3 linked regions of the Rhinolophus ferrumequinum genome follow. The protein of the gene in region 3 binds, or shares a complex with, the protein of the main gene of each other region. Links are inferred from orthologs where the notes say so. Each region holds a gene or a part of one and is shown on either strand. Other genes may lie near its edges. The genes, in order: JARID2, EZH1 and EED.

Region 1 (10,387 bases), on a different chromosome or scaffold from region 3:
TATTTTGGTGTTATTTCTACTTTTTTCTTTACAATTTTATGTAATTGTAATTATAGTAAACCCCTCTCTTGAATCTTGTAAGAAGCTTTTCCCAGTTTTTTGAAAGTCATACTACACTTTTAAATCAGAAAATGAAATACTTAAAAAACTTACAGCCTAGTGGTACAAATTCTGCTTGAGCTGTCCTAGAAATCAAACTGGTAATTTGTTTTCATGCTAACTGCATAAATCATATCTTCATATGGCAGAGATTTTAATTTCAAATTCATACCTGCTATGAAGCATCACAGATCAAATGGTTTTGAACTCTGGATATCGTATCTGTTATTCTCCCTAGGAATAACCAACCAGTGGAGTGACGGAAATGGCAGAAAAATACCCATAGAGCAAAACATAAAACTATTTTTATTGTCCAAGTGGATTGGGGCTTTGAAAGGCAAATGTTTTCAGTTATTTAAGGTGCTGTAGTGGGAGTTGTGCCCAGCACAATTAAGACAGGATTACATTGCAATTTATGAGTTTCTCAAGGATGTCATTTAATATAAAATGTAACAATCATTTCTCCCAAAGCCTGTCTGTCATCTACAATCCCACCCCCAAACTCTGCTTTGCTAAGGCAATATAAACTAAATGGCAACGCAGCAGGCATCTAAGGCTTTCGAGACCAATTTTAAGAAATGTGCTGCCTTCCACCAGCTAAAGTAATAATGCCACCTTAGACAGAAAGAGCATACTGTTTTATATTTTTCACGCACATCATCATCTCATGTACAGGATCTCAGAGAAAGTGAAGTGGCAAAGACAGGTATTACTTTCTCCATTTCACAGAAGAGGAAATAAACTCAGATTGCGAGCCTTTTGCTGTCTGGTTCAGAAGAACTAAACCTGGAACACCTTGAGACTTTTTATTAAAGAGTCCAGTGGCTCTTCCAAGCACAGGTATCAATGGCAAGTCTTCCCTGGTCTAGCTCCCTAAAAATTACTCAATAGGCATGGAGCTGACACGGCAAAGGAGTGCCCAACTCCCCTCCACCCCGTACTGCACGGTTTCCAGAAAGAGCAAGTTTCTGCTGCGCACCATCACCCAGAAAGGCGTCCCGCCACATCCTGCGAAAACACGTGAAACATGACTAAAGTGACAAAGTGGCTGACTCCACCACATGTTCCTCCTATAAAGCAAAGCTTTCCCTGAATGAAGTTTCCTTGCTTTTCTAAAGCGTTGGTGAGCAGACCCAACTACCACAGTAGTAATGTCACGCCATCAGCAGACCTGGAAACAGAGAAGTGAAAACATTTCTGCAGGAAGGAGGCGTCTCCCCGCTGTTCCCCATCCGCTCAACGGATCAGAAACACAGCTAGGCGGGGGCACTCTTTTGGGGAGGAAAGGTTCCCAGCGCTCACCTGCAGGGCAGCGCAGCGTTCCACGGCGGAAGACAGAGGCCGAGCGCATCCTCCTCCTCCGCCCCCCGCAGCCCCGCCGCGCTGGAACCTCCCGCCCGACTTTTGACGTCACGGAGGAGGAGGAGGAGGAGGACGTTCCACCCCGGCCCGTCCCTTTGTGACGTCACAATGACAACAGAACGCGGCCCGGAGCGTCCCGGAAACCGGGCGCAGCAGGAGGCGGGGGAAGGCAGGGGAGGCCGGCGCGAGGCGGGGGAAGAACCGGGGGCGGGGAGGGGGTGCGCTGACGTCTCGCCGGCTTAACCTGTTGCTCTCAAGACTGCGCTGGAACCGCCGGGCCGCCGCCGCCATGCTCCGTGGTGCTCACAGTGGGGGCGCCCGCTGCAGCTGTGCGCCCTCACCCCCTCCCCGGCACGCCCCCACCCGACCACCGCGCGCTCCCACCTCTCCCGCGACACAGTAGGCCAGGCCGTCCCCCCGCCCCGCCTGCCCGCCTGGGGCCGCCGGGAGCCCAGAACTGGGAGCCCCGAGACCGAAGCCCGCCCCCTACAGGCCGCGCGCGGCCACCCAGCCTCGGCCCAGCCCGCCGCGACCCCCGCACACCCTCCCCTCCGCGGCAAGCTGGAGCTCGTCGAGAGCACGAGCTCCGCTCCCACAGCCTTAACTCGTGCTCTGCCTCCGGCGGCCGCTGCCAGCCACGGGATTGCGACCGGACGCTCGGACTCCACACGATCCGCTGACTACTAGCAACAAAATCCCACCCCACACTGTTCTCCAACTTAGCGGGGCCTGGGATGGGGGCAGAGAGGCGGTCCTTGAGTCCAAGTTCTACCCCATTTGCTTTGTCGCTGCACCCGAATAGGACGTGCCCTGGGAAGGCGTCCACACTCCAAGGCAAGGGTGTCTCCATGCAGTTTCTACAGCCCGAGTTTAAACTAGTCCTTTACATTCTACCCGGCCCTCTGCAATGCGGATGTATTTTAATTCTTAAATTCTTAAGGGAACAGCTTTATAAGTAGGACTTGATTATTTAACCTTGCATTTCTTTCATAGTTAAAGTTTACGTGTCTACACGAGGATCGGCCCTCTACAAAAAGGCATTCAGTTTTTCCATTAAATATATTTTTTACAAATATGCCCCGAAGGTCATCTCCCATTACACATATTACACTGCTCAAAAAGGGAAAATATTAACATTAATTTGACGACTCAAGTTAAATAAAACTTTATAATAACGCTGCATTACTCCTAATGTATGTTCATTTGGCCTTCTTTTAGAAAATGGGTTCTTTGATTTAAAGTATGCAGCTAATCACCGATCACTCGAGCGCATATTTGGTTAATCCCTCGGTCCCCCCTTCCCTCCCTCCCCCCAAACTTAAAAAAAAGCCACCACACACAAAACAAAAACAGTCCCCATGCCAATCAAAACGTAGCAGTACTATGCACAAAACAAATTTAACTATTCCAAACCATTTAAATCTCTGAATAATCACCCAATTTCAGAAGCCCACTTAACAGGGAGAAATTATTTGTAGTCACTCACATATGCATTCACGTGCCCACTTAAAAACATTAGCTATATTGTATGTCTTTTTCCCCTAAAACTGGAAACCATGAATTTTTAAATAAAACCAGTCCCATTATTAAAGTCAATCCCAACAAATGAATTCGCTGTAACATGATTCCCAACTGGTTTATGTAGCGAACCAGATAAGCCAAAACAACCACATACATTAAATTTGATGTGCCAGTGCAAGGAATAAGATCTCCATAATCGGACCCTCGATTGCAACTTAAAGGGCTTCCAACACACATGCGTTACACGATTTTCCAAATAACATTAGTAATAATAACATAGGCTCATTTGCATGCAAAGTGCAATATGGGGCCAAACCCACCGGAGAATGCAGTTTAGTTACCTTACCGCAGCCCCCACCCCACTTCCAAGCTCCACCAAAATCCCTTGCCTTTCATCTAAAACTAGATTATGGTTGTGTCATTCGAGGTCAATTTATTCACTTGAGGTATCTCCACACCAATCTGTTTTTTTTCATCCAAACTAGGCAGACACGACTTTGCCTGAAAAGCCCTCTTTCAGAAAAGAAAGAAACAGCCTTATCGGACGCTGTGTTTAAAACCCTTCAGCTGCAGAATTATCTATAAACTTGACATTCACAGCCATTGCTTAAAACTGCAAGTCAAAGGATGTGTTGTTAGGAACACTTACGTATTTCTTCTGAATGATATTCCTCTTGGGTCTTTCCTTGCTCATTCTGAGATCCAAATGCTGATTGCAAAAGGGGACAATTGCTTCATGAATTTAAAGCCGTCAGAAATTTGCAAAAAAATATCCTGGTGGTTTTTATTGTTGTTGGTGGTGGTTGATCTTGTAATCCGACTTTTCTTCCTCTTCCCCCAAAGCCCGATTCGCCTTGAAATAAATCCGAAATTGGGAAGCAAAAAAAAAAAAAAAGAAAAAAAAAAGAGCCAAAGACGAACGAAGCAAACAAAAAAAAAATTCACTTTAGTAAAACACTCATAATGGAAAATTTCCCCCGAAACACACACACACACAAAAAAAACCGACGCCCTTCACTCCCCCCCTTTTTCCTCCAAAAACTACATCAGCGAAACGTGAAGGTCCTTAGTGTCTGATCTGTAGTTACATCTTGGAAAAGAAAAGGGAAAGATAAATAAAAAATGTTGGAAGTCACGTTTGTGCTGCAGCAGCAGTGCGAGCAGAAGAGTCAACTCCAGCGGCGGCGGCGGCGGCGGCGGCAGCACCACAGCGAGGGCTCGCCGAGTCTCTTTTTTCCAAGCCCCCTAACCAATGAGAGAGAGGCTATCCAGCCCAACTTTAAATGGACTCTGCTTTTATACAAGTTAGGGCTCCTCGGATAATTCCCCTCCGGAAGCTAGCCGAAAACTCTCACAGCTGAGCCACCAGGCGTCTGCCAACCTCGGCGCCGACCGCCTCCGGCCCAGTACAGAGGACCCCCGCAGCCCCGTCGACAAGACACCCAAGATGCTTTGACGAACCCTTCCCGGGCAACCCTTCAGGCTTGTCTCCCACGCCGAGCCTAGGAGTGGAATTTAGAGAGGCTCCCTAGCTCAATGCATGGCACGCTCGGTCGCTCCACCTCACCCCCTTTCCCCAGCTTGCCGCTCACCCCACAGCTGCCACACGCTAGCACTCGCCCCTGCCCTCAAGTCTACCTGCAGCGGGGCTGCTGGGTACGAGTGCCCCAGGACGCCCGGCCCCGGGGAGAGCCGCCTATTCCCGGGGCACCTTAGAATGGTCCCCTTGATCTTCTGGAAGTTGTAGTCCCCCGACTACAAAATGGCTATGGCTACGGGAGCTGGGAACTACAATTCCCAGCCTGCCCTGCAAGCCTGTCACTCAACTCCCCGCCCCCCTCCTTACCCCCTCCCCCCCACCGGCCCTGCCAACAAACGCTTGGACGTGTCCCGCGTGCGACACTGCTAGAGGCTGGCTCGGGATTGGCTCACAGAGCTTGTGGTCCGCAAGCAAGGAACTCCCCACGCCGGCCCGCCCCCGCCCCCTGGCCCCGACCCCCTCCTCCGGAGGCGGCTGGCCTCCTCCCCGCGCGCCCCGCCCCCACCCGCGGCGCGAACCGCCTGTGGAATCGAGGAATCGCGCTCCGGGCCGAGCCGAGCGGCGGGGGAGGGACGCGAGGTTCCCCGGGGGAAGGCCTCGGAGCGTGGCAGCGCTGGGGGCGGTGTCAACGAGGGGTTGGAGCCAGTCCTAAGGAAAACTGGGCCACGCACCAAAAGGAATCCTCGGTGCGAACTAGTTGATCGGCGGCGCCTGCTGCCTCTGCCGCGCCGCCGGTGTCACCTCAGGACACCGCCTTGCGTAGTCGCACAGAGCGTACTGCGGTCGGGCCCAGGGTAGTCTGAGGTCACCCCTGCCCGCGCCCCGTAGCCGCACGCGCCCCCACGCGCGTGTCGGCTAGGATGGCCGTGGGGAATGGCTACCTCCCGGCACGGCACGCGGCCGGGCAGAGAGGACGGCATCGGGGGTGGCCAAAAAGGGGCCCCCCGCGGCTGCCTCCTATAAAAGATAACCGACTTTAAAGAGCTCGAACGTGATCTTTGCCGTCACGTATTTTGCGTCGGGGGTGCCCATGAGCTAGACTAAAACGTTGAGGTAAAAAAAATGAGTGGAATATGGAGATCGAGCCACACAGACATGCAGACTGTAAGGAAGCATCTGGAACACCGAGTGCCAGGAATATCAAGGGCGGTAGCCGCGCGAGAGCCTGCTTTTTTACCTGCCTCTGCCCCTGTTGCGGTTGTTTAATCGCTGATATAAATGAAGCATCAAGCCCTGGTGTACCTCTTCGGGCCTTCGCTTTATTAACAACTTTGTCAAGTCTCTGGTAGTCATTCTGCATTATTAATTTCCCTATTTTAACTGGTTTTAGAGAAGTACTGTTTTAAATTATCTCCTCTCGGACTATTCTCTGAATAAAGGAAAAGTGGGATCAGTGCACCCTCATACTCATTCCTATACATTTTATTCTCCTTCCCACTTCTTAGATTCTCCTCGCCTTAAAAGGATAAATACTCGGGTAACACCATTACGTTTTGTTTGCAGCAGTGTTTGAAGAGAGAACCATTGTGTCTAGAAAGGTCTCAGAAACTGGAGGTAAGACACCTGGATTCACATCACCCCTTGGCCACTTCCTAAAAGGCAGCCCACGGCCTCTGATTTTGTCCGTTTCTTCATCTGTGAACTAGTGATGATCAAACCTTGTGGGGAGGATTATATAATAACATTAACCTCGCTGAGAATCAGACAGGTTTATTGGAAACTTTCAGTAAATGAAATAAAATGCTTTTTCAAATGCTTTTTAATTATTCACCATTTTAAAAACAATGCTTTCTAAAATGAAATGCTTTTGCCTTATATTCATTGCACAATCAGAAAAATGAGTGACCTGTGCTTCAATATTCCAGAACTTGTTTGCTGGTGCCTTTTGCAAGGAAGGGCCCAGCAGAACAGACCCCTTTTCGGTAATGGCCACCCAAGTGATTTTACAGTTGGGTTACAACCAGGTGTGTTCAAAAGTCTTTCAATGATTATAACCTGTAAATTGGAGGTCTCCACTTGTCCATACCATGTTACGGTTTTAACCAGCTTTCTGGAGATTTCATGTCAAATCTGTCATTCCTCAGGCAAAATATTGAAAAACAAAGGTGGATTTCTTCTTAGTTTCCTTAGCTAGCCCCTGGGCTTCTCTGTCCTGGACCTGGGAACTCCCCTGCTGGGCTACCAACTCCAGATCACCACATATTTAAAGCCATTTCCCTAGTTGAGGCTTGAGGGTAGGGGAAAGAAAGGAATCCGCTCAAATCCAAAAGATCTAGATAACTTTAGTGTTGTTTTCCCTGAAAAGGAAAATAGATTGGCCTTTTTACCATCCAAAGCCTTTCCTGTTGTAGAAGTAACTGTCTCCTGATGAACTTCCTTTTCCTGCCATCTTGGCAAGGCCACATATTACCTCTCCTTTCTTTTTCCTCCTCTTTTTCATTTTCTGGAAACCTAATTCACTTTTCTCCTGATGATTTAACTCCTCACAGTACTTCCTTGACCTCATCAAGTCCGGGAGTGGGAGATGGGAGGTTGGAGGGAAGACCTCAGTAGGTACACAGCCTCCGTAGGACCTGTGTGCCAGCGCTGTCCTCATCCCTGAGGACACAGAGAGCCCAAAAGTCCTCAGTAGAAAAAGCAGACTTCACAATCCATGGTGATACCCAAGTGCTGTATCAACTATATGGGAAAGGTGCTAAAGGGAACACAAATATTAAGCTTACATTTTATCCTCTTTATATCAGTTACCACTCCCGGAATTAGGGAGTTTTGAAGGATGAGTATGGGTTCTGCAGTTTAAAGTAAGCTGAACAACTTTCCAGCGTGAAAAAAATCATGAGACCTAAAAAAGTATACCACATTTATGGATGGAATTCAATTTTTGTTTGGGAGTGACTAAAGATGAGACAGAGGTAAGCGGGAGCAAGGACCAAAAAGGTTTTGTATGCCAAGCAAAGGAGTCTGGACTTTGCCTGTAAGCTAAAAAGAGACTTTGAAGGATTTTCACTAAAGGCAGAAAGCAGATCTGTGTTTTTCAAAAGTAATTCTAATTGTGTGAGAGGTGAAATCGAAGATTGGAGAAGAGAGGAAGCAGAGAGACCTAGAAACTAGTTGCAATGTTATTGCATAAACGAGGTAACAAGGGATTATAATCTGAATGCAGTAGCAAAGGAAATGCCATATAGAGCAGAGAACAGGTTGAGAAATGTTTAGCATGTCAAAAGTCCATAGGACTTGGGAATTGGAGGGAATGGTGACTGATTCCTTAATTTTACATTGTTCTTTTGATTAGATCAGTTATCCACTCTAGGAAGAATGGAAACATGTTGGAGATGAAAGAGGAAAATCGGAGCAAATCATCAGACACAAATAAGAGCAGGCACTCAGTGTTCTGGATTCAAATCTGCATGGGCAATCATATTTAATTAAGCATTTTAGTCCACCATTTGATTTACTGTAAGAAATGACAGGGAAAGAAAGTTAATAAAGACCAAGTACAGAGGAATAATCCACAGTCCTATGTTATATGCATATTGAAATTTCCCTGTGAATGCAGGGGTTAACACAGGATATGCTTCCAAATACCAATCAGATCCATGGTTCTAAGAAATAACTCAGGATTCATCTTCTCCAGTAACCCTTCCTTAAGAGCAGATTAACCCCTTTGCGCTGTATTCTTACCTGCTTACGTTCACCAGTTTGGTCTTAGATTCCCATCTCCTTTCTCTAAATAAAAAATAAGCTTCCTAAAGTCAAAGACTGTTGTCTGCTTCTCGTGTTCTCCCCAAAGCTCCAGAAACTTCGTACAATTTGGAAGTGTCCAGTAAATGCTTACTTTGAATATTTCACCAAAACTACAATGCTCAATTATTTATTGCCAGCCATTTAGTTTGTTACTATCATTCCAGTTCTATTCTGGAATACAACTATAGTCCCCCTTGCAGCACCCAAATCCAATCCAGTCTTGTACAGTCTTCAAGGCCCGGAGTCCAGCCTTATCTCCAATTCATCCTGGCTGCTTGGCTTACTCATTCCTGAATTCTCATTACCCCTGTTACTTCAGCCACATTTCTTAAAAATATAAAAATATGTATATATTTAAAATGTACAATGTGATGTTTTGATATGCATATTTATTTTGTAATGACTACTCCAGTCAAGCTAATTAACATATTCATCATCTCACATAGTTACCATCAGCCACATTTTTGAGCTTTAAAATTCTGTTGCCTCTTGTCTTGTTTTCTGATTCTGTCATTTATACATCTTGTCTCTCCTAATTCGATCAAACATATCATGGGGCCATGATCTGTCTCATCTTGAAGCAGCCCTTGGCAATGAGGCCAATTACTGCATGGGAATCAGATGTTTCTAAAATGAACAATCTCAGGGACCTGAAGCCACTCCTGTGACCCCTCTGGGTTTCACCTTCATCATCTATGTCAGGGTTAAATTCAATCATCGCCAAAGACATTTCTGGATCCAACATACTCTAATCCTACTTGGTGACCTTTGTGCTCTGCTTCCTTCCTCCCCCTCAGTGCTGGCCGCTATGTAGACTTACATACAGTTTGTTGAGTAAGGATTTCTAGGGCAAGTTTCTTTATACTCCGATGTTATTGATTTCCTAATATAACTTTATACAGTTGACCCTCTTTAAGGGGGCACGGAGGGCCCATCCCGGGACTTTTTCAGTTGACCCGCGCAGTTCGAACCCGCCGAACCCGCCGCCGTTGTTGTGTCAATTGGCGGTTGAGAACATGGAGAGGGGGAGGGGAGCACCGATTTAAGGTATACTCGGATTTTCGCCTCGAGGGTGGTGGGCCTCCCCTAACCCCCACATTGTCAAGGGTCAACTGTATTTCTCTGTGATATCACATGATGCTTTTCATTTGTGTAACTTTTTATAGGGTTTAAAGGACAGCCATAATAATGTCATTTAATCAATAAAACAACCCAGTTTTAGACAGGCCTTGTCCTTACTCTTCCAATGCAGACACGAAATATTAAGAATTTGTAATTTGCTCAAGGTCGTACAGCCAGTAGGGTGGCAGAGCCAGGAGTCAAGGTTCTTTGTGCAGACCATCTCCCTGGTATTCAAAATGTGATCCAAGACCTTATTCCATGAAATGTTACTGACTCTGGCTGGAAAGGAAAGGATGCGTTGATGAAAGAGATTGAGAAATTGCTAATTTACACAAAGATAACCTGATTACTTTACCGCAGGATTTTTAAAATCCCAAAGAAGCATATAATTTTCCAAACTTATTTGGCCACAGAAACCTTTTTTAAAGAAGGAGCTGGTATCCACAGAATAATCTTAGAGACATGCTTCACCCAAGATGATGAATTTATGCTTCGTAAATGATTGCTGACTGACAATAATTCTTACCCAAGCCACTGGATACTTTATGTGCAGTTTCTAATTTTGTATAGGTCTATCTTCATATGTGGGGGGAAGGGAGTAAGGAGGAGGGATGTAAAAATTAATCTTTGACTGACATCAGATTTATAAATAACGATGAGCCAGTGTACTCAGAAGGTGGGGGCTTCCATTGAAAGAAGGTAGAACAGCTATTTCAAGCTGACTGAGATTTGCAAAGTATTTTAAAACACACTAGGAGGTAAACTCAGAAGTAAACAGCTTTCTTGAGAGTGAGTGATGTCAAGGAGACATTAGTTCTTTTTGTTATTCACTGCTTCCTGTCCCTGAATTTACAGTCTTATTTGTCAAGCCTCACTAAAATGCCACAGCACAAACCAGATACAATAAAATGATGTACAAAAGCTAACGATCGACTGTAGACCTTGTTTATAAAAGTCACTGAAAAAGTCCCTGGTTCTTTGGATTATTTAAAATTAAGG
Region 2 (10,489 bases), on a different chromosome or scaffold from region 3:
TAAAGCAATCCAGTATTTTCTAGAGACTTACTATTAAAAATCTGTAGGCAATTTTACCTTTCTAAAAAAACTCTTGAATGACTTCAGAATGAATAATAGTAGAATGATCAAAATTGGTTCATTAACTGTAAAAACTGTTATATGTGTACTAATTAATATAAGATGTTATTAACAGGGGAAACTGGATGTGGAGTTTAACTGGAACTCCCTGTACTATCTCAACAGTGTTTTTGTAAATCTAAAGCAGTTCTAAAAAAAATAAAGTTTATTTTTAAAAAAGACTGATAATTGGAAATAAGAACTACCTTATTTACATGTTAAATCTCTACAGGAAAAGAAAGCTATAAAAACTTGGAAATCTTTCCCTAGAAAATTGGATCTCAGTTTGCTTCCAAGGCTAAAACTAGAATGTAGTCTGTCGCTAGCTGGAAATGGGAAAACATTATGGAAATGTTTTGGGATAAAACATTTAAGAAACAATATTCTTAAACTTACAGAGACTGAGAGCAGAATATAAAAGTTCCAAACTATGAAGTTCCTTTATTCACATAAAGTTGCCCCTTTGCAGAAATAGCTTGTCTTAGGGGCAAGTTCAATGTCTTGACTACTTTCTCTTTTATAACAAATAATTTTATTAACCAGCAGGCTAAGTAAGGCTTTGAGGCGATGGCACTGTAGACTTTTAACTTTTCCATGCCATTCTTCCCTTTTCAGTTCACGGTGGAGTAGAAACATAAACAGTAGGGGTGAACCTACCTCTGCAAAGAACTCTAGTCACACACAATTGAGTCATTTTGGTGATCACGAATTTCAATATCCCCATTAAAATCAACTCTGTAGTGGAGTGCACACAATGATAGATCAATCAGGATCTATTAAGCACATCTTTAATTTGTATCCTTCCACTTCTCCAAGGTATTTATATTTGTTACTAGTTTGCGCTTCTGGGCACTATACACATAGGGAAAAAACCTTACTAATAGGAAGCTGTGACCCTGACTTCTTATATAAAGTTATAGCATTAATACTGTCTAGCGTTGCTTTATGAAGAGAATCAAGTCACGTGCACTGGAGACAATGGTGATAAAAATCAAAGCAGGATTAGTTTTTAGGAGACACAAAGGAAAATGCTGGCCCTTAGGATATCCAATGCTCATTTAGAAGAGATAAAGGCCCTGTTAGGGCCCTCTCGGAACAGGCTGGAGCCCTACCTTGGTTCTGTACTAAGCTAGCATAAAGCTTAATGTTTAGAGACTGCTCATTACCAATTCAACAAAATCAAGACTTTTTAGTTGTTCCATTTTTGAATCAAAGTATTAGGGCAAGTGTGTCAGCGAACACAACACACCACAAACTCCAACTACCCATTAAGAAATTCCTAATTTTAAAGTTTGGAGCCCTGAAATCCCACTGACAGGCTGATGGACCAAAGGGGTAGGAGGAGCCCAAAACACAATTTGAACAAATTAAAAACGAAACAAAAAAAAAAGCCGAGGACTTTCTGGAATGGAGGTATTCCCTAAAAGCAGTTTTTCCCCATATACCCTCCTCTGCAATCCTAATCTAACCGGAATAATTCTCACCTTTCTCCACATGCCTTTTCGTTTTTCTCTTTAGTTTAACTACCCGATGTAGAAATGTAATGTGCTTTTAGTGTTGCTGCCTCAAACCTTTTTTGGGAAGTCGCTAGTTAACAAAGCAGAAACTTTTAAGACTTAGGCCAAGACAGAAAAAAGTTATACTACGTAACTAAATGAATTGTTACATGTTTCAGATAAAGCACAAATCAAGGGCAGGAACTGTTACCCACAGGACTAAGAAAGCCAGATTTCAGATATCAAAAACTAAACAGACAAAATTAATATTTTAAATGGTTTTTTAAAGGCGTGCTAATTCAATGGCAAGTAAGATAAGAGAAACAAGTCTGATTACATTTTCTGACCTTTTCCCTTCTCACAAAAGTCGTTTGGGGAGTAAATTTTCATTTTTTAATCCTAGGCTCCTTATTCTAGTGCTGTTTCAAAGAGAATTAAAGTAATACCATAATGAAGAGGTCATTTCAACCTCGGGGAGTTTTAAACTTGTACGTTGGCGGGCGGCCCGGTGGCTCAAGCGGTTAGAGCTCCATGCTCCTAACTCGGAAGGCTGCTGGTTCGACTCCCGCAAGGGATGGTGGGCTGTGCCCCCTGCAACTAGAAATGGCAACTAGACCTGGGGCTGAGCTGCGCCCTCCACAACTAAGACAGAAAGGACAACAACTTGACTTGGAAAAAAGTCCTGGAAGTACACACTGTTCCCCAATAAAGTCCTGTTCCCCTTCCCCAATAAAAAAAATCTTAAAAAAAAAACCCACAAAAAACAAAACTTGTACCTTGGCATCAAGTTCTTGGCATCAAGTTCCATGACTGGACTACAAGCATTCTGCCAGTTAGTAACAGAATTAGGATCCAGCCCCAGAGATCTGCCTACTATTCATGTATTCGACAAATCTGTATTGAGCACCTACTGTGTGCCTGGCACTATTTTAGGTGCTTAGGGTACATCAGTGAATAAAACAGACAAACATCCCTGCCCTGGAGAGTTAATTCACACTGTGATACACACACACTTACCATAAACCTTGACAATAATACGATCACTACATTTTTATATATGGTCCTTTCCTTTACTATAAATGTGATTTTTAAAAAGTATACATATCTTCTAACACACACTTTCTTCTATGTAAGCAAGTAAGCTCTTATCAAGGCCACATCAACCCAGCCCTGGGGATTCCAAGGCTTAAAAGGGACAAGCTCTCACAGAAACCTCTGACAGCACCTTTTCAGGCTGGAAACTTCATTCAACGCCAGTTTCCAAAACTTAAAGGCACCGGGTGGGGGATTTTTCTCTTCAAAGACGTCAGGGCAGCGAACCCGGAGGAACAGACCACACAGTGAATGCCGTCCTCCTACGCACGCAGTTTGTTCGTTCACCTCGGCTCCTTTCCTCATCCTCACCCCTCTAGCCTTAGATTACTCCGTTTACAATCTTACATTTCACCCGTAAAAACTGGCTCTCAATATTCCACCCGCGCGGCACTAACGTCCTTCCAAATCCCTTCCTCATACCCGCCCCCGAAACACTTTCTCAGTAGTCACTTTTTACCTAAATAATTTTGTCCCACTTTTCCTACGGTAACAGGCATGTCCCAAATACAACACCTTGCTTTTGCTTCACGGCGCTTTCCCTTTGATCCCCAGGAGAATCCCGGAGTGGGCAGGGGTTGGCGCGAGACCAAATTTGCAGAGCAGCAGCCTCGTAACTCAGGACTGAGGCTGGTGAGGCTCGCGGGGCGCCCAGGGCGCAAAACCTCAGGAGGATTCCGCTTGGGCTCGGTCCCGAGTGAGCGTCCCCTACACTTCGCACCTCAGGACCTCACTCACCTCACCCTAGTCCCGACCCTGTTTTTACTGACACCCTTTCCTCCACACCCCCCAAAGTCATCGCAAGCCGAGCACCCGTGTCTGGCCCTCAGGGTGCACAGCCCGAGGTCCCTGGGAGTCCACCTCGCTAAGGGCCCCCGCTGGTGCCACCGCCCACCCGCGCCCTCCATAAGCCAGGGCTCCCGCCCACCCGGCCCACCCCGCCCTCTAACGGGATTCCCCGTCCCCGGGCCCGCCCCCGCCGCTCCTCCTCCTGGACACACCGCCCTCCCGGCCTCAGAAGCGTTCTCGCCAGGGGCTCTCTCCCCTGGTCGCCCCCTTTCCCCAAGTCCTCGGAAGCGGGTGTGGGCGCCCCGCTAACCCCGGCCAGGCAGGCAGTGTGCCCCTCCGCTTCCTCCCAATTCCCTGACCCCTTTGCCTCTCCTTCTTTCAGGTCCCGGGTGGCGAGGTGCCGAGGCCCGGCCCCAAAGCCCGGCCCGGGCTTGTTTACTCACTCACCCTCCATCCCGAGCCGCAGGGACCCGCCGCTAGGACGCCTGCGCGCCGCGGCCCCGCCCCCGCGCCGCGGCCCCGCCCCGCGCCTCCACCGGCGCGTGCGCACTGCGCCGCCCGCCCTGCAGGTTGGGCCACCTGAGATTCCTTTTTCACACGTCTGTCATTTGGCACCAACACCCCCCCCTCCCCCGAACTCAGAAGTCCGAGGTGGTGCAGCCCGAGCCCGATGGTTTCCAAGGCGGCGCTATCAGGGGACAGGAAGAGCTCTTTCGAAACTTCGAGAAGCCACGAATATCTTCTTAAAGACCTTATCCAGGGTTGTACCATCCTCACATGCCGGTGACAAGGCACATCTCACTTCAGTATTTGAAGCCAACTTGGAACCCCTTCATACCGATCCCTCACACCTACCAATACCCTTAAAGACTCATATGGGCTCTAAGTAACCCTTCTTGCTTGATTTACACCTGACTCCCCCATTTCTGTCAATAGTTTTTCTAGTTACCTAGATTCAAATTAGCCTTGTATCAAAGGATCTCCTCAGAAGATACCTAGAAGTTACAAACGCAACTAACTTTACAGGAGAGAAATTTGGCAGACATCATCTTGATCAAGTGATCAACATTAACATCGCTAGTGATGAGATATTTTTATTAGATTGGGTACCTCTCAAGATGGTGCAATGAGGGCACAAAATCACATTTGTGGTATTCTTGAAAAAAACGCATAAGCTGAATTAAATCATGAGGAAACATTAGACAAATCCAAACTAAGGGGCAACCTACAAAATAACTGACCAGTATCTTCAAAAAATGGCATGATCGTGAAAGAGAAAAGGTGAGGAACTGTACCAGGTAGGGGGAGACGTGACAACTAAATGTAACGTGTGATCCTGGATTGAGTCCTGGTCCAGAAAAAGGATACCGGTGGGATAATGAAATTAGAATACAGTCCGTAGATTAGTTAATAATATTTTATCAATCTTAATTCCTGGTTTTGGCAATTATACTTCCTCAACGTTTAAGAAAGTTGGATGAATTGTCTACAGGAACTCTCTACCATTTGCATCTCTTTTGTAAATCTGAAATTATTTCAAACTATAAAGTTAAAAAATTAAAACTTAAAATACAAAGCTTTACCTTAAATTTATCTCCAACTGCCTTCTAGATCACTGCTTCTCAAAATTGGCTCACATTGAAAATAACCTGAGGAGCTTTAATAACTGATGCCTTCCTCCTACTCCCAGAGGGCCTGATTAATTGGCCTGGAGAATGCCCTGGGCTTCACCAGTTCTAAGAGCATCTCAGATAATTCCACTGTGTGACCAAGTTTGAGAACCATTATACCACATAAATAACTGTTGGGGAAAAAAAAGAACGCGCGATATCTAAGGAGAGATGTTCAGAAGATCTGAATGTCAGGACTGAGACTGGAGAGAAATCTGGGCACCATTGACATAGTGATGGTAACTAACACCATGGCAGTGGACAACATTGCTTTAGGAGAGTATGCCAAGTGACAAGAGAAGAGATACAAAGAAATGTTGCAATAAAAAAGAAAATATGGTTATAGAAATATTTTGAGGTGGAAAAGAAGAAGGAAGGTGAGGAAACTTATGTCAAAGTTGTAGATCAGAGCCCTGAAGCCCAGCTCAAGCTCCACGTCTTCATTAAGCCTTCCAGCCCTCCCGGGTCTCCCGTGCTTCAACTCTAGGACACTTTGCACTCACTACCATGCTGTATATCTTTTTCATGTCCACCACGACAACTTGGCATAGGACTAATCCTTGTTCACTGGAAGATTATAAAAACAACCTTCCACATTGCCAATAAGCATTGGGTTCTTGGGGAAATTTTGTCTGTCAACTGGTTCTTCCTCATTGTGATGAGATGGTTTTTCTGAGACCAGGCTCTTTCTTAGCTAACCATGGTCCATGCGAAACTATCAGCCAATCTTTGTTTGGCCAGCTGTTCCTCTACAACTTTTTCTTTTCCAACCCTTTAGGTCTTTGTCCTATAAATTCGTAGAAAAACTGTTGGCAAGTGGTCAGCAACTGGACCTCTGAAAAACAGTACCATTACCTCTGCCCCACTCCTTCCAGCCCCACCCCACCCCGCCAGGCAGTTAATAGGAGAAAGGAATAACTTTGTCACTCCTGGCTTCCAGTTGGTCATTTTGCTCTTAAATTGGAGGCCTTTGGGGCCGAAAGAAACTGGACAAAGTGTGCTGAGTAGCCTAATAGAGCTGGTTCTTTGTGAAAGTTCCCTAATGCGGAAAAATAAAATTATGTGTTTAATTTCTGAAACCTGATGCCTGATTTGCCTTGGCAGCCATTCTCCTGGGCTTGGCAGAGAGTCCGGCAACACTAGTATACTGATTAATACCAGCTCAGCTTGCTCCCTGGAGAAAAGTATTATTTATTTGACCATTTTCTTAAATCCTTTTTAATTTGTGTGTATTTTAGCATGATCTTATTGGCTTTAACATGTTGTATCTCTGACCACTGGCGCTAATGAACCCGTAGGGAAGACTGTTCTGCTCTGTGCGTTCACATTCCCAGCACAAAGCAAGATTTTGTTCTACCCGGTGATTAGAAACGACATGTCACGCGTTCTGTTCCTTCTGGGGCAGGCAAGTTCTAAGTGTACTTTTGTCCCGCGCTGGTCTTCAGGCCACTGATAGAAAGGGAAGGAGATAATGCTTCCCAGAATTCAAACAGAACTTTCTGCACTATTCCTTCCTCCCTGACAACCTTCCTCGCTTCCTTCCAGCCCCCTTTGGATGGTGACCCCTTGACTCATTCTGCCCCTCCCATGTAAAGCCCACAGGGATATCAAATAGCATTTCTCTGAGGGGATGCAGAGGACTGAGGAAAGGTTGGGGCCCCAGACAGTCCCTGACAGGGAAGTGTAAACACAGCTGTGGAGATGGGAGCAAACCATCCTCCCTCCCCCAGTTCCCACCCAGAAGCAAGGAAGGCCACCCTGCTGTGGGGAAACAAACAACAAAACAAAGCGAAGCACAACCTAAAAGCCTGTATAAAGATCACCAGAAACTGGGGCTGCTGCTTAGGACTTGGTGGGGCCAGCTCAAGTGCCAGACCCCTCCCTGAAGACTTAGAGGTAAAGGCAGCTCCAAAGCAAGTTGGGGCCTGGACGTTACTGAGCCTGGATACATGGCTCAATGTTTGCCTCTCCACTCCCGGACATTTTGTCCTCTGATCGCAAAAACACAGCTTTCCACCCCCAGGTACTTAGCTCCTGACCCCTAGTGGCTCAGGGATCATAATAATGCATTCGATTCAGCAAGTAACAACAGGTCCACAATAAACCCTTGTCCATGGCTGTTATAAGTTTAAACTCCGAACCTCCCAGCGAGAATATTAGAAAGGGCCTCCTTAGCCTTTGTTAATTACAAAATAAATAATTCCAGTAGGAAGGGACTTTCTTTTTTGGGGATCACTGGGGTGGGAGCTATGCCTTGCTTTGTACATACTCTGAAAGCTCCAACCCCACAGCTAGGGCGGTGCTGCCCATTTCTTGCTCTCTCGGCACAGTTAATGTAGGGCCTTGATCCCACAGTGGGACACGCCTTTGGCACGGCCCTGCCTGGGAAATAACCCTGATTGGCTGGACAGCTAATGAGCTGTGCTTCCTTTCTGGCCATCAGGCTTCTCAACTGTAAAACTGCAGAACTAGAAAAATGATAATGGCCTTCAAATACTGACCACTCATTATGTGCCTGGCAGTGTGCGTAAGTGCTTTAAAATGGGTCATCTCATGTCATATGAAGTCAATAATATTCTCATCCTCATTTTACAGCTGAGGAAACTAGGGTTTAAAGGGATTCTAGAACTGGCCCCAAATCACCCAGCTGGTAAACGGTGTGGCCAGGATTTAAGCCCAGTCATTCTGACCCCCAAACCCACGCTCTGAACCACTCTACTTGACCTCTTCCTTTCTCTGAGGTCTTCTAGCTCTGACATCATGATTCTGGATCCTCTCCATGGCTTTCTGCTCTCACCAGTGGTGCCAGAAAGAGAAATAAATGTGTTTGGGACTCAACTCCGCAAGTCCAGAAGAAAATAGCTCCTGAAAGGCAGGGGGCTCCTTACTTCCTCTGTACTGGAGATACCAATCAAAGCTGGACACTCGACAGACCGTCATATCAGCAGGAACAGCCTGTGTGGAAGACAAACAAATCCTAGCCAGACAGGAAAGGGGAGTGCCTCTTGGTTCTGTGACTTCCCCTTCTGTCTTCCCTGGCTTATCAGCAGGGTCCCATGCTTCTGATGCCATGGCCCTTTGAACCCCACTGTGGCTAGGATGGGTACAAGGCTACAGAGACTCTTTTGGAGCAAGAAAAGTACAATACATACAGCTACAGATTATATCCATGACACCGCATGTAAAGGAACAAAAATAAATACACTTATTTATTTATTTAACAAGTTGCCTTTAGCATTCACATAATCACTAGACATTAGACTGGATGTGAACCTACATCATCTCATGTAATCCTTGAAAGATGTCTGAGAAATAGATATTGTCATCCCCATTTTGCAGAGAAGGACATTGAAACTCAGGGAAATTGACATTGGCCATGGCCACATGGCTGGAAAATAGGAGAGCTGGAATTCAGACCCAGGCTGGGTCTGTTTGATAACGAAGTCTGTATTCTTTTCAATAAAAGCAGTGTTAAGTAATGTAAAGGACAAAGTTCTAAAACTGGAAGGATCCTAGAATATCTTGGCAATATAATTGTTGTAACTATACGTGTTATACATTATGATAGTAACTACCATTGATCGCATGCTTGCTAGCGCCAGTCATTGGATCAAACAAACGCTTTACATGCATTATCTCTACTGCTCAGTGAGATACATGCTAGTAACCCCATTTTTGCAGATAAGAAAACAAGCTCAGAGGAGTTAAGTAACTGCACAGGTTACATACAGCTAAAAAAGTAATAGTGTTGGGATTCAAACTCAAGTCTGCTTGATTCCCAAGTGTATGCTCTTGACAACTAAGGCAATAGAAATAATAGCAATCTACATTGAGTCTGTAAAGAACTGCTCTAAGAGCTTTAACTCTTATAACTTATAGATATTATTGTTCCCATTTTACAGATGAGGAAAACATGGCCTTTTATAGTACTACTTAAGGTCATATTACAAACACTACACGTGTTAAAACACATACATTATTAGTGTCATATTTGCTTAACATATATTGGATCCTTGTTATGATCTAGAAAAATGATTTATTTCATAGTGTCATGGGTTTTTCTCATTGTCCATTTAATGCATTAACCCCCATTAAGGTCTTGGGGGAAAGGATGTGAAAAGCTACTGTCTGTAGGTGAAGCAGGCATAGTCAGGAGAGGGGTTGTACTGAGAGGGGAAGGCCCTCTGTGCCATAAGGAGCCCTATCTGGTTGCTCTCTGGACACGCTTCCTCATCCCTTCCTATTTGACTCTGTCTAGCAAGTCAGCTAGCAGGTGGACTTCCGCCAGGTATTGTGGAGCAGAGGTGAAGTGTCCAGGATTTAGCAAGAAGACCTGGGTATCAGTATTAGTTGCATGACCTTGGATATGTTACTTAACCTTTCTTTCTTTTCTTTTCTTTTCTTTTCTTTTCTTTTCTTTTCTTTTCTTTTCTTTTCTTTTATTGGGGAATATTGGGGAACAATGTGTTTCTCCAGGGCCCATCAGCTCCAAGTCATTCTCCTTCAATTTAGTTGTGGAGGACACAGCTCTCAGCTCCAAGTCCAGTTGCCGTTTTTCAGTCTTTAGTAGCAGGGGGCACAGCCCACCATCCCATGCAGGAATCGAACCAGCAACCTTGTTGTTAAGAGCTTACGCTCTAACCAACTGAGCCACCCAGCTGCCCCTTACTTAACCTTTCGAACCCTCAGTTTCCTCATCTGTAAAGTGGGTTGCTATGGTACCTAATTTAATTGGGAGTTTAAATGAAACATTTTGTATGAAGTATTGAGCACACTGCATGCCATCCTCAGGGCATCCCCATGTTATACAACATCCAGCCTCCTAGAGTGCTGGGAAGGGGTAGAAGCGTTCCTGGGGATGGTTTCATAGGACAGTCCAGGAATGGAGGAAGGGTGAAAGCAATCATGGCATCTGGCGTTGGGTCCTGACAGCAACCATGAGTCAGCCTCAAGTGCTGAGGGACCAGCAGTGTTCTCAGTACTGCTGGGCGTGTGCTGTGGTCACTTGGCCAAGGTCCTCTTTCTGATAGTTGTTCTTGTAAATCTGCCTTGGGTTTTTTCTTTTTTTTTCTTCACAAAAACAGCCTCCACCATGTGACGTCATGGTCCAGCCTGGGTCAGGGAAAGAGGGGGAGTAAGTTGTGTGCAGGATCTTATTTCTAGAGGGGTCAATCTGGTTCTGGAAGAAACTCTATCTTCCCTTCCTTTCAAGACTCAATAAGGAATCAATATTCTGATTTGGAGTGAGAGGGAGGTGACAAAACATAACAGTTAAGACATGAAGTTTAGCATCAAGCAGCTCTGGGTTCAAATCTTGGTGCTGCCACTTACTACCTCTGAGCC
Region 3 (10,971 bases):
TTACATTGTGTGTTCACCACCCAGAGTCAGTTCTCCTTCCATCACCTGATCCCCCTTACCCTCATCACCCACCCCCCACCCCTTTACCTTCTGGTAACCGCTAAATTACGTTCCCCAGATTAATTTTCAAACCCCGTGGCCATCCTGTGGTCACCGACTGCCCTTCAATCCCTTCACCCGCCCCCGCCCCCCCAGCAGCTTCTTTACTTTCTGGCTAAACTCAACTGCTAATCAAGAAGCCAAACAAAACACTGTCTATAACAAGGCACGTTGCATTTCTTTTCTTCCTTTATTTTTGAGCGCTTAATTTACCCATCTTCTCCAAAGGCATATCAAGATGGAATCAAATGGAAATGCAATGTATTCACAACCATTTCATTTTATCTTTAAATTAAAATCAAACCTTTGTTGAGTGTCTAGTATGTATACAGGCTGATTTTCACCTTGGCCCCTCCTGAACGTATAAAATGACACTGTGCAACAGATATGGCACTATCATCTTCATTTGCCCAACAAGGAAACGAAGTAATTTGTCCCTTAATCTTGCCACAGATTACTTAAGCAAAAGACAAGTCTCCAAATTTAGCCCTCTGATACCACCAGGCAACCATTAGTTCTCTTGAACTAACTACTCTGTAGTCATACGATCTTTAAAAAGTTCAATAAAATGGCAGATACATATATAATAAACATATTGAATGTTAACTAGACTTATTGTGGTGGTCATTTCACAAGGTATACAAATATCAAATCATTATGCTGTACACCCAAAATTAATGTTATATGCCAATTACACCTCAAAAAAACAAATGTCCTTTTAATCCTGATTCACTTAAAGTAGCAACTACTCAGGTTACCTTACCTCCAACTCAAAAACACCACATCCTTTCCCCACTTGCTTTTGGTCTTCTTGTCATCATTCAGCTCCCTCAAGAGTAAAACCACTGCCATTGTTTGCTTTTTCTGAAGTCATTTTTTTTTTAACTTTTATTTATTTTAAGTGTGTTTTTCCAGGACCCATCAGCTCCAAGTCAAGTAGTTGTTTCAATCTAGTTGTGGAGGGCGCAGCGCACAGTGGCCCACGTGGGAATCGAACCAGCAACCTGTTGTTAAGAGCACCGAGCTCTAACCAACTGAGCTAACCTGCCGCCCCGCGGCCGCCCCTAAAGTCATTTTTATACAGCATTCTCTATTCCCTTCCCTTAACCTGTGTCCAATATCTGTGTGATCCTTAGATAAATTCCTAGGGCCTGTGAATTGAAATGATCCAAAAGAAAACAAAAGGCATTTTAATTTTCACCACCTTTATCTGAAATTCAGCACTTTCTACTGTAATGGAGGTAACATACGTACTAATGTTATTGTAGCTGTGACTTTCTTACCAATGGAAACCAGGTATTTTTATATCATATAGCTGTTGCAGACCTCAAATATTATGTATCCCCCTTACTATCAGACGTGCCGCTAGATCTAGTTACTTAATGTGCTAAAGAAGCACTTTAAACACTTTATATTAAAGTAGTTCAATTAAAACAAATCTTAAATTTGTTTTTAAAATATTTTTATAACATATTTTAAAATTTTATCACTGATTTTGTATGTAACCTCATATACTTTATACACTTAAAAAATGTTATTCTGAGAAGGCTTCACAGTATTCATTAAGCTGTAAAGAAAGTAAACTTTCAATTTATTTGGTCCTTGGAAATCTTCCTCAGTCTGACTTTCTTAATTACATTTCTGCCTGATCGTTTGTTATGTGGAAGTCTACACTTTGTGATCACAAAATAACTAATAGTAATTAAATAACACTTCTATAAACTTATTATGAGACAGGCATTCTTTTAAGCACTTTACCTATACTAACTTCATTTAATCCTCACAAATACTCCACGAGGTAAACATATTACCTCCATTTTTAAGAAACTGAGGGAACTAGCTCAAGTACCTTGCTCAAGGTCAAGCAACCAGTAAGTAGCCGAGTTAAGATTTTAATTTAACATTTGGATCCAGTGTGTGCTCCTAATTACTAACCTAATTGCCTAAAAAAGGCAGAAATAAAACAGGCTCCAAGGACTGGAATGAAAGGCATAAAAAATGCTATTTTTTATATACATATATAAAATTGGGAAAAACAAACAAAATTTAACATGCAATGCCTAAGATTTCCAGAAATTTCAAGTCCAAATCCCACAAACTGACAATTTCCTAAATATCTTTCTTCTATTTACAAAAAGAATTCTTTTCCACGTCTTCAGTGAAAATTCTGGTCATGACACCATGCCACATATGCTTCAACAAGTGATGTAATTGAGATGCAGAATTTAAAAACTGGGTAAGAGGTTAGTTACATCTATTCCTAAAACTAGCCAAACTGAGAAAATGAAGAACTTAACACCACCCTCCTATAACACTTTAAAGATTTTAAATCGACACTCAGACATGTATCATGAAAAGGGGTTCACATTTTGGAGTAATTAACATCTCTGAATAAACTGTCAAGACATTTTGCTGACTTTATTGGATATAAACTTAAAACATGAATGAAACTGACAATTAATGTCAATTCGTTTATTACCTGCGTCTCACCTAAACACAATTGGGACTAGATGATTACCAGAGTTCTTTTTTAAAAATCCACGAGCCCACACCTAAAGACATGTCCCTTCACCACCGTTGCCTAAAATCTTCCAGTTTGTCCCCTTTATCTTTGTAAACTCTTTCAAAAGGCTAACCGTCCCTTCTCCTTCCTTCCTCAAGGAGGGTTTCCCCCTCAAAGTCAGAAGACGACCCTCTCAACTCTGCTCCTCCTTAAAACAGCCGACTAACCTCCACGGACAGGATGGTAGCAGACACAAAACCCCCTTTACAATAATCACCGAAACTCCTTAAGATCTCCTCTTCCCATCAGCTGTCTGCAAGGGTCTAGGAGTGACATGGTCCCTGAATTCCTGTAAAAGAGTCCGTAACATACCCTGGCCTTTCCTTCTAACTTTCTCAGAAAACCTCTAAGTTGCCTTTTAAACTACTGGAATCTCAGCTCCGCACTCTCCCCAAATCCCCCAAAGGCCCAAACACTCCCCACCCACGCAAAAGGATCTTTCCGCCAAGTTTCTTCTTGCTTTCGGCCCCAACTCAAACCCCCACAGAAACAAGTTCGATTTTCTCCTCCACGCCCGCGTTTTCCTGAGTAGAGGGTGACACCTCTCCCTCCCCCCACAGCCGCCCGCCCCCGCTTCTACAGTTTAAAAAGAATTTAAAACTTTCACTCCAGAGTCCCATCCGGACTGCTCAGGGCTCTACTCACATTCTCATCCCCAGAGAGGTCCGGGTTGCTGTTCTCGTCGCTACTCAGCTTCTGCTTCTTGGCCGCAGGCATGTCTGTTCCCGCCGGGGCTGTCGACACTTCCCTCTCGGACATATTCCTCCGCCTCCCTCCAGGTTCCTGCCGCCTGGGGCGGGGCCTCCGCCACACCGCCGTCAAGCAAGCCCGGCCGGAGCTTGCCGCAAAGTTGCCACTGCCGCCGCCACCTCCACCGCTCCCCCCACTGTCGCAAACCGCGCCCAGCCGCCGAGGCGGGCGTGCGTGCGACCCCGCCACACTGCTGAAAAAGGGGCGCGCGCTCGCGCGCCCTCCCACGCGGCTTCCTGGCTGCTTCCCTCTCCCTATTCCCGTCTTGCCCTTTTCCCGCCGCCCTCCCGGCAGTTTGCAGGGAGAGGTGTGACCCGTTGGCTTTCGAGGGCAGTATTTAGTAGGTCCCCCTTCCCCACTACCGCCTCGAAAAAGGAGAGGTGGAACTCAAAGGGATGTCCCCTCACCCCCTTCCTCCTTCCAAAGACGTTTCAGCCGCAATTGGCCCAATCCTTCGATCCCCGACCCGCTGCAAGGACTCGAAAGTCTGTGGAATGGACTAGACCACCAATGTCCCAGGGGACGGGGAAGATATGAGAAATCACCTCTTGCTTTAACGGTGTATGTCAAGTGTCCTTAATTTTGAACTCGGAGGATAACGCTCTCACATTATTCATGGTATTGTTTACTATCTAATTTTTTGTTAAGAATAGAAATTCAAAAACTATAGACTGCTTCTCATGTGCCTCCCCCGCCAAGCAAATGGAAGTTACCCGCTAAGATGTGCGCATGCGCCGGGGCGTATTCTCGCGCTGGGTTGCCCGAACCCGCCTCCGTCAAGCCCCTCCTCTTGGAAGTCTTACTGAACCAGGTAGTCTTCCACCGGGTTTCCGTAGCCTAGGGTGGATTTCAAAGCGCTACCAAATCATAGTCTATGGACGCATCCTAAACTCTTGATGAATATTTATTCTGATGAATATGTATTGCGATGAATGATTGCCCTCACCCAGTTGGTGCCAACATTGAGTAAGGTTTAAGTAGGAATATCCAAAAATTACATTCTAGACTCCAATGAGTTACAGCCCAAAGTGCTCTTTTTAACTGTTACACAGGATTATCAAGGCCTTGAACAAGGCCCAGGCCTAAAAATCAATGGTTATCTCCAACTATGTATGAGACTGTTAAACGATGGACAATATTTTTTGGCGCACCAGATACGATAAAATTTTAGAAGTAGGCAAGGAAACTATTCACCAAAAAAGTTTATCTTTAAATGTTACCATGTCTAGGCGCTTGACAGATGCCAAATACATTGGTGAGCCTCGGTGGATTTGTTAGATGGGTCATTAAGCCACAAAACCGAATGAACAGCAGAAAAAGGAGAATGACAAATAAGAACCCCTCTCCCTTTTTTTATAATTTGGTTGTGACTATTTTGGGGGGCCTCTTTGCCCTCATCTGTAAAAATGAGAAGACAGGAAGGGACCTAACATTTCTTGAGCACCTACTTGATATTATATTTTTTCTTTCTTAAAATTTTATTTACCTATTTATCTATCTATTTATTTATTTATTTATTTTTAAATGCGAGGTGTTTCCCGCATGGTTTGTCTCTTCAGTCATTGTCCACAGGACTCTGAGAAGCTGTAGGAATATGCAGGCGCAGACTCAAGGCTCAGCTTTATCTCCAACGTTGTGGAAAGGGACTGTACATCATGGGGCAGAGCCCTATGTTCCCCTACACCACTTGGACAGAGCCCCTGGGAGTGACCTCCTGGAGGTACCCAGTTGGATATATATTTTTCTCTTTTAAACCTCATTACATCGCCCAAAGGATAACCAGTATAGAGTACCCCAGCCATAAAATTCTAGGGTACTGAATTACTTCTGCATGATGCCTTAATAGAGAAAATATCTGCAGATTGCAAGGTACTCTTCCTTTTGGAGCTAAGAGAACTCAGTTAAGAATGAGAAAAGGAAGGTAAAGCAAAGGCAGGGCAGATTAAGAGGTTTTTTCAATGAAGACTCAAGAAAAACAAGGAAGCTAAAACAAATGAAAGTTCAAGTCTTAGTAATGTTAATTGCAGTAATTTGTTGAACTCTTCTAATGTGCCAGGCACTGCTAAGCACTCCTCAGTTGGTGAGAGAGACTGACTGGTATGGTGTCAGACTCGTACGGTATGGTATGGTTTCTTAATTTTGAGAAAGTAAAATGTGCCTTTGTATGACATTTTCATGCAGAGAAACAGCAGAGAAACATACTCCCCTTGTCTGTTGAGAAGAATGTTTGTGAATATATCTCTACAAATAAAGGATAATCAACTAAAGCATTTCCAAACCAAATTAAAATGTGTGACATCAGTGGGAGCTGGGAAGTAGGAAACAACTTTTAGTAATAAAGTTAGAAAAGTGCTGAATATTTGGGTAAAAGACACATATGGAAGGATAATGCCTTTCAGCAAGCATGTTATGGGTAGCAAAGCAAAAATATTTTTAACTATTGTTATTAAAACTTGGAGGGATATTTTTAAATTTTTCTGATGAGTCAGGGATCATAAATGGAAATCAGTTAATATTCATTATTACTAATGTTAAAAAAAAGATTGACACTTATTAAAACAGCAAGGAATTTTACCAGGGATTATTGTAATAAGTGTCAAGACTATTGCAGTGAGAGAGAGAGAGATAGGGCTCAACTCTGAATACAGAAAGGCGAGGGTTTTTTAATCCAGGAGCAGAGTCGGGGATGAAGGAGTTCAGAATGTGCCACCACAATATGCTGCTTGGTATATTGATTATTTTGAACTGAAGGTACTTGAGAAACAAGTATGCTCTGAACTCCCCTTATCTGCCTAAAGACAGACCCTCCAAAAGGAACTCAACTGTCATAAATCCCCTCCCCAGGAGTTTCATCAAACAGGGAAAATTGACTCTTATCACAGAAGAGATTAGAAGTCCATACCACACCCATTCATCTAAGGGCCCATTTATCTTTCCAAACTGTCATTTACTCTCCCTTACGTGGTATACATCCCTTGCTTTCCCCTACTTTGATGGTATGAGCTCTCAAATCTCACTGCTTTTTTTTTTTTTTGGCTATCCACTTTTTCCCCCTGTGATGCTCTTGCACATGCAATATTAAAAATTAATAAATTTGTATACCTTTCCTCCTGGTAACCTGCCTGTTGTCAGTTTATTTCATAGATCCAGCTATCAAACCTCGGGGGGTAAAGGGAAACTTTCCTCCCCTACAGGGATTGGTGGGTGGAAACTTACTAGAGGAGACATCAAGGAGAGGGGGCTTCTTCCTAAAGCAACTTGCCAGGGTGATCAGATACATCGAGGGTGAGGGATGAGGAATTTGATCAGTTATCAAGGGTGATCAGATAACAAGAGGGAAAGATTCTTTCAACTGACTTAGCAGAATTCTTACTACATCTGGACTAGGCAGGCAAAGACTCAGGCGCAATGCCTAGTTGAGAGGAGAACTCAGAGGAGCCTGACCAAAGTTTGTTCAAGGAGAGAGTCTTTGTTACTAATTTCACATATGTAAAATACCGCAGGTTTCCTATTCAGCATGCTATCTTTATGGTATTAATTTAATAAACACAAAAGCTTAATTACCTATTAAAAAACTGTAAATTTTTAACACTGAATTCTCCTACTGTAAAGGATTTCGGGAGCCATCATAGGTGGAGAGGTATTACTACCCACATTTCACAAATGTGTGAACTGTGGCTTAGTGAAATCAACCAATTAGCCCCCAAACACAGCTCTCTTCAAAATAGCTAGGGATCTTATTTAAGCATGACTGATTGAAAAACCAAAGTACTTTTGCCTCAAGATGGACCCAGTCATCTCTAGGTTTATGTAATTCTTTTCTCAGAGCTTGATCTTTAGACCATGTAATCTTTCATACACTATCGAAGGACATATAAAAACTGTCTTGCTTGGGACAGAGAGGAAATAACTGGAGAAACTGGGGAAATCTAAATAAAGTCTGCAGCTTAGTGAATAGTTACGTATATATTTCAATTTCTTAATTTTAACAAATGTACCATGACAATGTAAGATGTTAACAGTGAGGGAAACTGGATGAGGGGTATACAGAACGCTCTACTATCTTTGCAACTTTTCTGTAAAAGTATCCCTCCCCCCCAAAAAAACCTCTTTAGTTCTTTTTTTTTTTTTTTAAGTGGATCTAATATTAGACTGCTGAGACCTCTAGTCAGAAATGCCTTTTTGCCTTTAAATAAATGGTTGTTCTACCTTGGAAAATTTTCAAAGATCAATTATTTATAAAGAAAAAGAAAATTCACAGCCTCGGTATTGTCTTCTAGTATCTTTTAAGCTTCATATCAGGAAATGAGTTTCAAAAGCTAAACTAAATCCTTCCCATTTCAGTTGAAGTCTATTTCTCATTCACTCAACATTTTTTTGTCTTTTCAGCTTCATAGCAGCTGTTCATCATCACTCATGCAGTGTGTAATCATATGCTCACAGATCCAGTTTTCTATGGATCTGCGAGCATATGAACAGAACATCATATGGCTTCTTTGAACATTTTAAAATCAATCAGAAGGAATTTACTGAATGTCATTTATGTGCAAAGCAGTATGGTAATTGCAGGGGAAGGGAGGAGATAAAAAGGGAAAATTAGACACAGTCTCTAGTACCTTCAAAAAACCTAATATTCTTCCTGCACTACAAATGCCTCATGCATTTAATAAATGTTTACTGAGTACCCACTATGTGCCAGGCACTGTTCTAGGTGCTGGGAATCCTTGATAATAAGCAAAATCAGACAGTTTCCTATTGTCCTATACTCATAGGTTACTGTTCACTGGGGGAAACAAACATTAACCAAATGTTCGCACAAATAAATACACAATTACAACTGTGGTGAGTACTATAATATGATGGGGAAGTACAAGGTCAGGCTGCTGCTTGCCAACATTGTATCTTTGTACTATTTTTTAAAAGGTGCCCCATAGAAACAATCCAGAGTAGGCAGTGTGTGGCACGCAGACAATGCCTTTGATGAATTAGAAAAAGGCAGCCCTTCTGGGTTGGCACAGGCCTGCTCCTGTGCAAGGCTTTGTGTGTATAGCACAAGCTGGATTTCAGCCGTTATCACCTCAGCTAGGAACCCTTGTTTAGATGAACAATTTACACAAGCATACATAGCAGCCCTACAAACAGTTTCGTGGACACATAATCAAGTGAGATTTGGGAGGGTTTCCCTGAGGAACAGACAGAAGAATTAGAACTAAAAGAAGAATGGGAGTTAACCAGGTGGAAGGGAAGAGAAAGAGAAACATTCCAGGGAGTGGTAACAGCACGTGCAAAGGCTCTGGGACAGGCTAGGAATATATGCCACTGGGAAACTGAAAGGTTAGTGCTGGTAAAGGACTGAAAAAGCGACAGGAGCTTGGTAACAGGTAATGCTAGAAAAGTAGAGGTCAGATCATGCAGGACCTTGTAGACCATCTTAAGATTACGATGTAAAAATATATCTCTTGCACAGAAAGAATTAGATAAAACACAGAAGGAATTAGAATGGCATTTATTCTATTTCAATTTTTTGTTGGAATTTCATTTATAATAGTGAAACGAACAGGTCCTAAGTATACAGTTTGATAAGTTTTGACATAGGGGTTGGTCAGTGTTTCCCTAGTAGAATCTGAGAGGCAGAGACAATCCAGTGGAGGCAAATGCTGTTTTACAAACACTAGAAAAAGTACACTCTATTGTGGATTAAGGAAAGTTTATGGAAATCTATGGTAGATTTCAGTCAATAAAATCTCCCTTTACGACTATGGAATGCCTTTGCTTACCAAGAACTGCCTTCTGATTGCTAGTTAACTTTTCTTGTTTCCTTGGTAATAGGAAGGAAGTGTGCTAAAGAGTGGACATTTGTTACTTTAGTCATTGGAGACGTATATTCCACGGCATAACTTTAGTACTTTGGCATATGATTTGTAAATAGGTGTCTTACTAATCTGAAAGGGAATGGATCGTGAAAAGCCTTATGTCATTGGTCTGTAAGTAATGGGTGGCCAAAGAAGAGTTTTTCCTTTGGTAGACAGCAGGGCGTAAGACTGGAGACAGCGAGATGAGTTTCAAAGCTGTTGCGACATCGCAGATCTGAACCAAGGCAGTGCCAACAAAGATGGAAAGTAAGGGGTTGTTTCTAGAGGTATTTCAGAAATAATATCAACAAGACATGGTATGTGAGGGTTGAAGCGAGAGAGTCATAGGATCACTTGGGTTTATAGCTGGACCAAATTTCTAGATAATTATCTAAGATAGGGAAAATAGAAACAGGTGAAATTTTTAACTTTTAGTGTTGAGTAAATAGACTTGATGTAATTTTACTTTTTCCCAAATCCAAATATGGTCTTCAAGGATAAATGCAAATGACAATGACTATCATTAACCTAAGAAAAGAGTTTTGTTGTTGTTTTTTTAATGGAGACAATTCTATAATATCTACATAAGAATGTCCAAACCTCCTGAGAATTTTGTTTTACTCCTCTGTGCTTCTGTGGGTGCTCCTGGAATCCTCCCTCCTCCCCCATCCTTCAAAACTTATTTTAGACTTAACAATAAACAATTTTTATGAAAATTTCTTTGAGCCAAACAGAGGATCCACTCCCTTTTTGTCCACAATTCCAATGTCTTGTTCTTCCAGAAGAGGTTTGTGTGAGCATTAAATGAAACAATACATGTGGAAGAGCTTAAGACATTTATTCGTGCATGAAAAATTGTTGAATGATAAATTTATTTTGGTTTTTGAAATGAAACATTGCTCTTGTTTTAAAATCACCAGTCTTAATTTTAGGAATAATAATATTATCCACTATTTTCCTCTTGTACAGGTTTGTTTTTTAAAGTATGCAAATAATGTATTTTGATTACATGATTATTTTCTGAGATTCTCGGAGACTTTTCAAATGTAGATCAAAACCAGCAATGCCCTATTTGAAAAACACTAATAAAAAAGGATCTGGAAAGTTGAACTAAGAGTTAACATTCATTGAAGTCTCTATGCTAAGCACATTGAGCAATTTATCTAACTTAATCTTCATGACATCCTCGCACCTCTATTTTACAGATGAGAAAGCTGAGATAGAGACATTAAATTACTAGTTCAAAGTCACAGAGGTGGTAAGCGGTGGAGCTTAGTTTGAATGCACACAGTTCTCAGCTCTGTACCATACGGCTTTATAGTGAGTTGTCAACATATTTATCTCTGGATGGGTAGACCTGAGTATATTCCTTATTTCTTTCTTTCTGCCTCTCTGTATTTTTGGTAATAAGCATGTATGACTTTTGGGTTGAGGGAAAAAAAAAAGATTATTTGAATTTAAAAAGCAATCAGATAATTTATTTTGTAATAAATAGGCCATTCTCGTTCGTTCCGTGAAAAGAATATCTCTATATCTAAGTTGATTTTAAGCATTAAATCTGCTATTGTTCGAAGGCAAAGTTTTGTCTGATGCATGGTTCATATTATGCTCTTAATTCTCTGAAAAATAGACTACAATTATTGACAGGTTAATTAACTGTCATCTTAGGGTCTGGAATATTATCTGTAACTTTGCAATTCTGAAATA

Evidence for each region.
Region 1: the proteins of EED (region 3) and JARID2 are in contact, whole or in part, in a cryo-EM structure (PDB 6C23), measured with the Homo sapiens proteins. The link is inferred for Rhinolophus ferrumequinum from reciprocal best matches to the Homo sapiens genes EED and JARID2. Residues at the interface, in NP_003788.2 of Homo sapiens: Pro95, Phe97, Tyr148, Arg306, Asn307, Tyr308, Cys324, Asp362, Ile363, Trp364, Tyr365, Arg414, Asp430; in NP_004964.2 of Homo sapiens: Pro109, Gln114, Arg115, Lys116, Phe117.
Region 2: the proteins of EED (region 3) and EZH1 are in contact, whole or in part, in a cryo-EM structure (PDB 7KTP), measured with the Homo sapiens proteins. The link is inferred for Rhinolophus ferrumequinum from reciprocal best matches to the Homo sapiens genes EED and EZH1. Residues at the interface, in NP_003788.2 of Homo sapiens: Cys84, Val85, Asn86, Ser87, Leu88, Lys89, Glu90, Asp91, Trp103, His104, Ser105, Lys106, Glu107, Val112, Arg120, Leu123, Tyr124, Gln129, Gly130, Glu131, Ile132, Arg133, Leu134, Leu135, Gln136, Ser137, Tyr138, Val139, Asp140, Tyr154; in NP_001982.2 of Homo sapiens: Gly37, Ala38, Lys39, Leu41, Tyr42, Val43, Asn45, Phe46, Lys48, Val49, Gln50, Lys52, Thr53, Gln54, Leu56, Asn57, Glu59, Trp60, Leu63, Arg64, Val65, Gln66, Pro67, Val68, Gln69, Ser70, Met71, Cys83, Thr84, Ile85.

Annotation. Positions count from the first base shown.
Region 1 is NC_046292.1:79,352,857-79,363,243, forward strand, and holds the start of JARID2 (protein Jumonji), read right to left. Parts: upstream 4,235-10,387; 5' UTR 3,677-4,234; coding exon 3,632-3,676; intron 1-3,631.
Region 2 is NC_046304.1:38,409,297-38,419,785, forward strand, and holds the start of EZH1 (histone-lysine N-methyltransferase EZH1), read right to left. Parts: upstream 3,981-10,489; 5' UTR 3,931-3,980; coding exon 3,924-3,930; intron 3,508-3,923; exon of another isoform or gene 3,204-3,507; intron 3,085-3,203; exon of another isoform or gene 2,821-3,084; intron 2,796-2,820; exon of another isoform or gene 2,372-2,795; intron 1-2,371.
Region 3 is NC_046294.1:59,082,709-59,093,679, reverse strand, and holds the start of EED (polycomb protein EED), read right to left. Parts: upstream 4,270-10,971; 5' UTR 3,422-4,269; coding exon 3,308-3,421; intron 1-3,307. UniProt on the Homo sapiens protein: Polycomb group (PcG) protein. Component of the PRC2/EED-EZH2 complex, which methylates 'Lys-9' and 'Lys-27' of histone H3, leading to transcriptional repression of the affected target gene.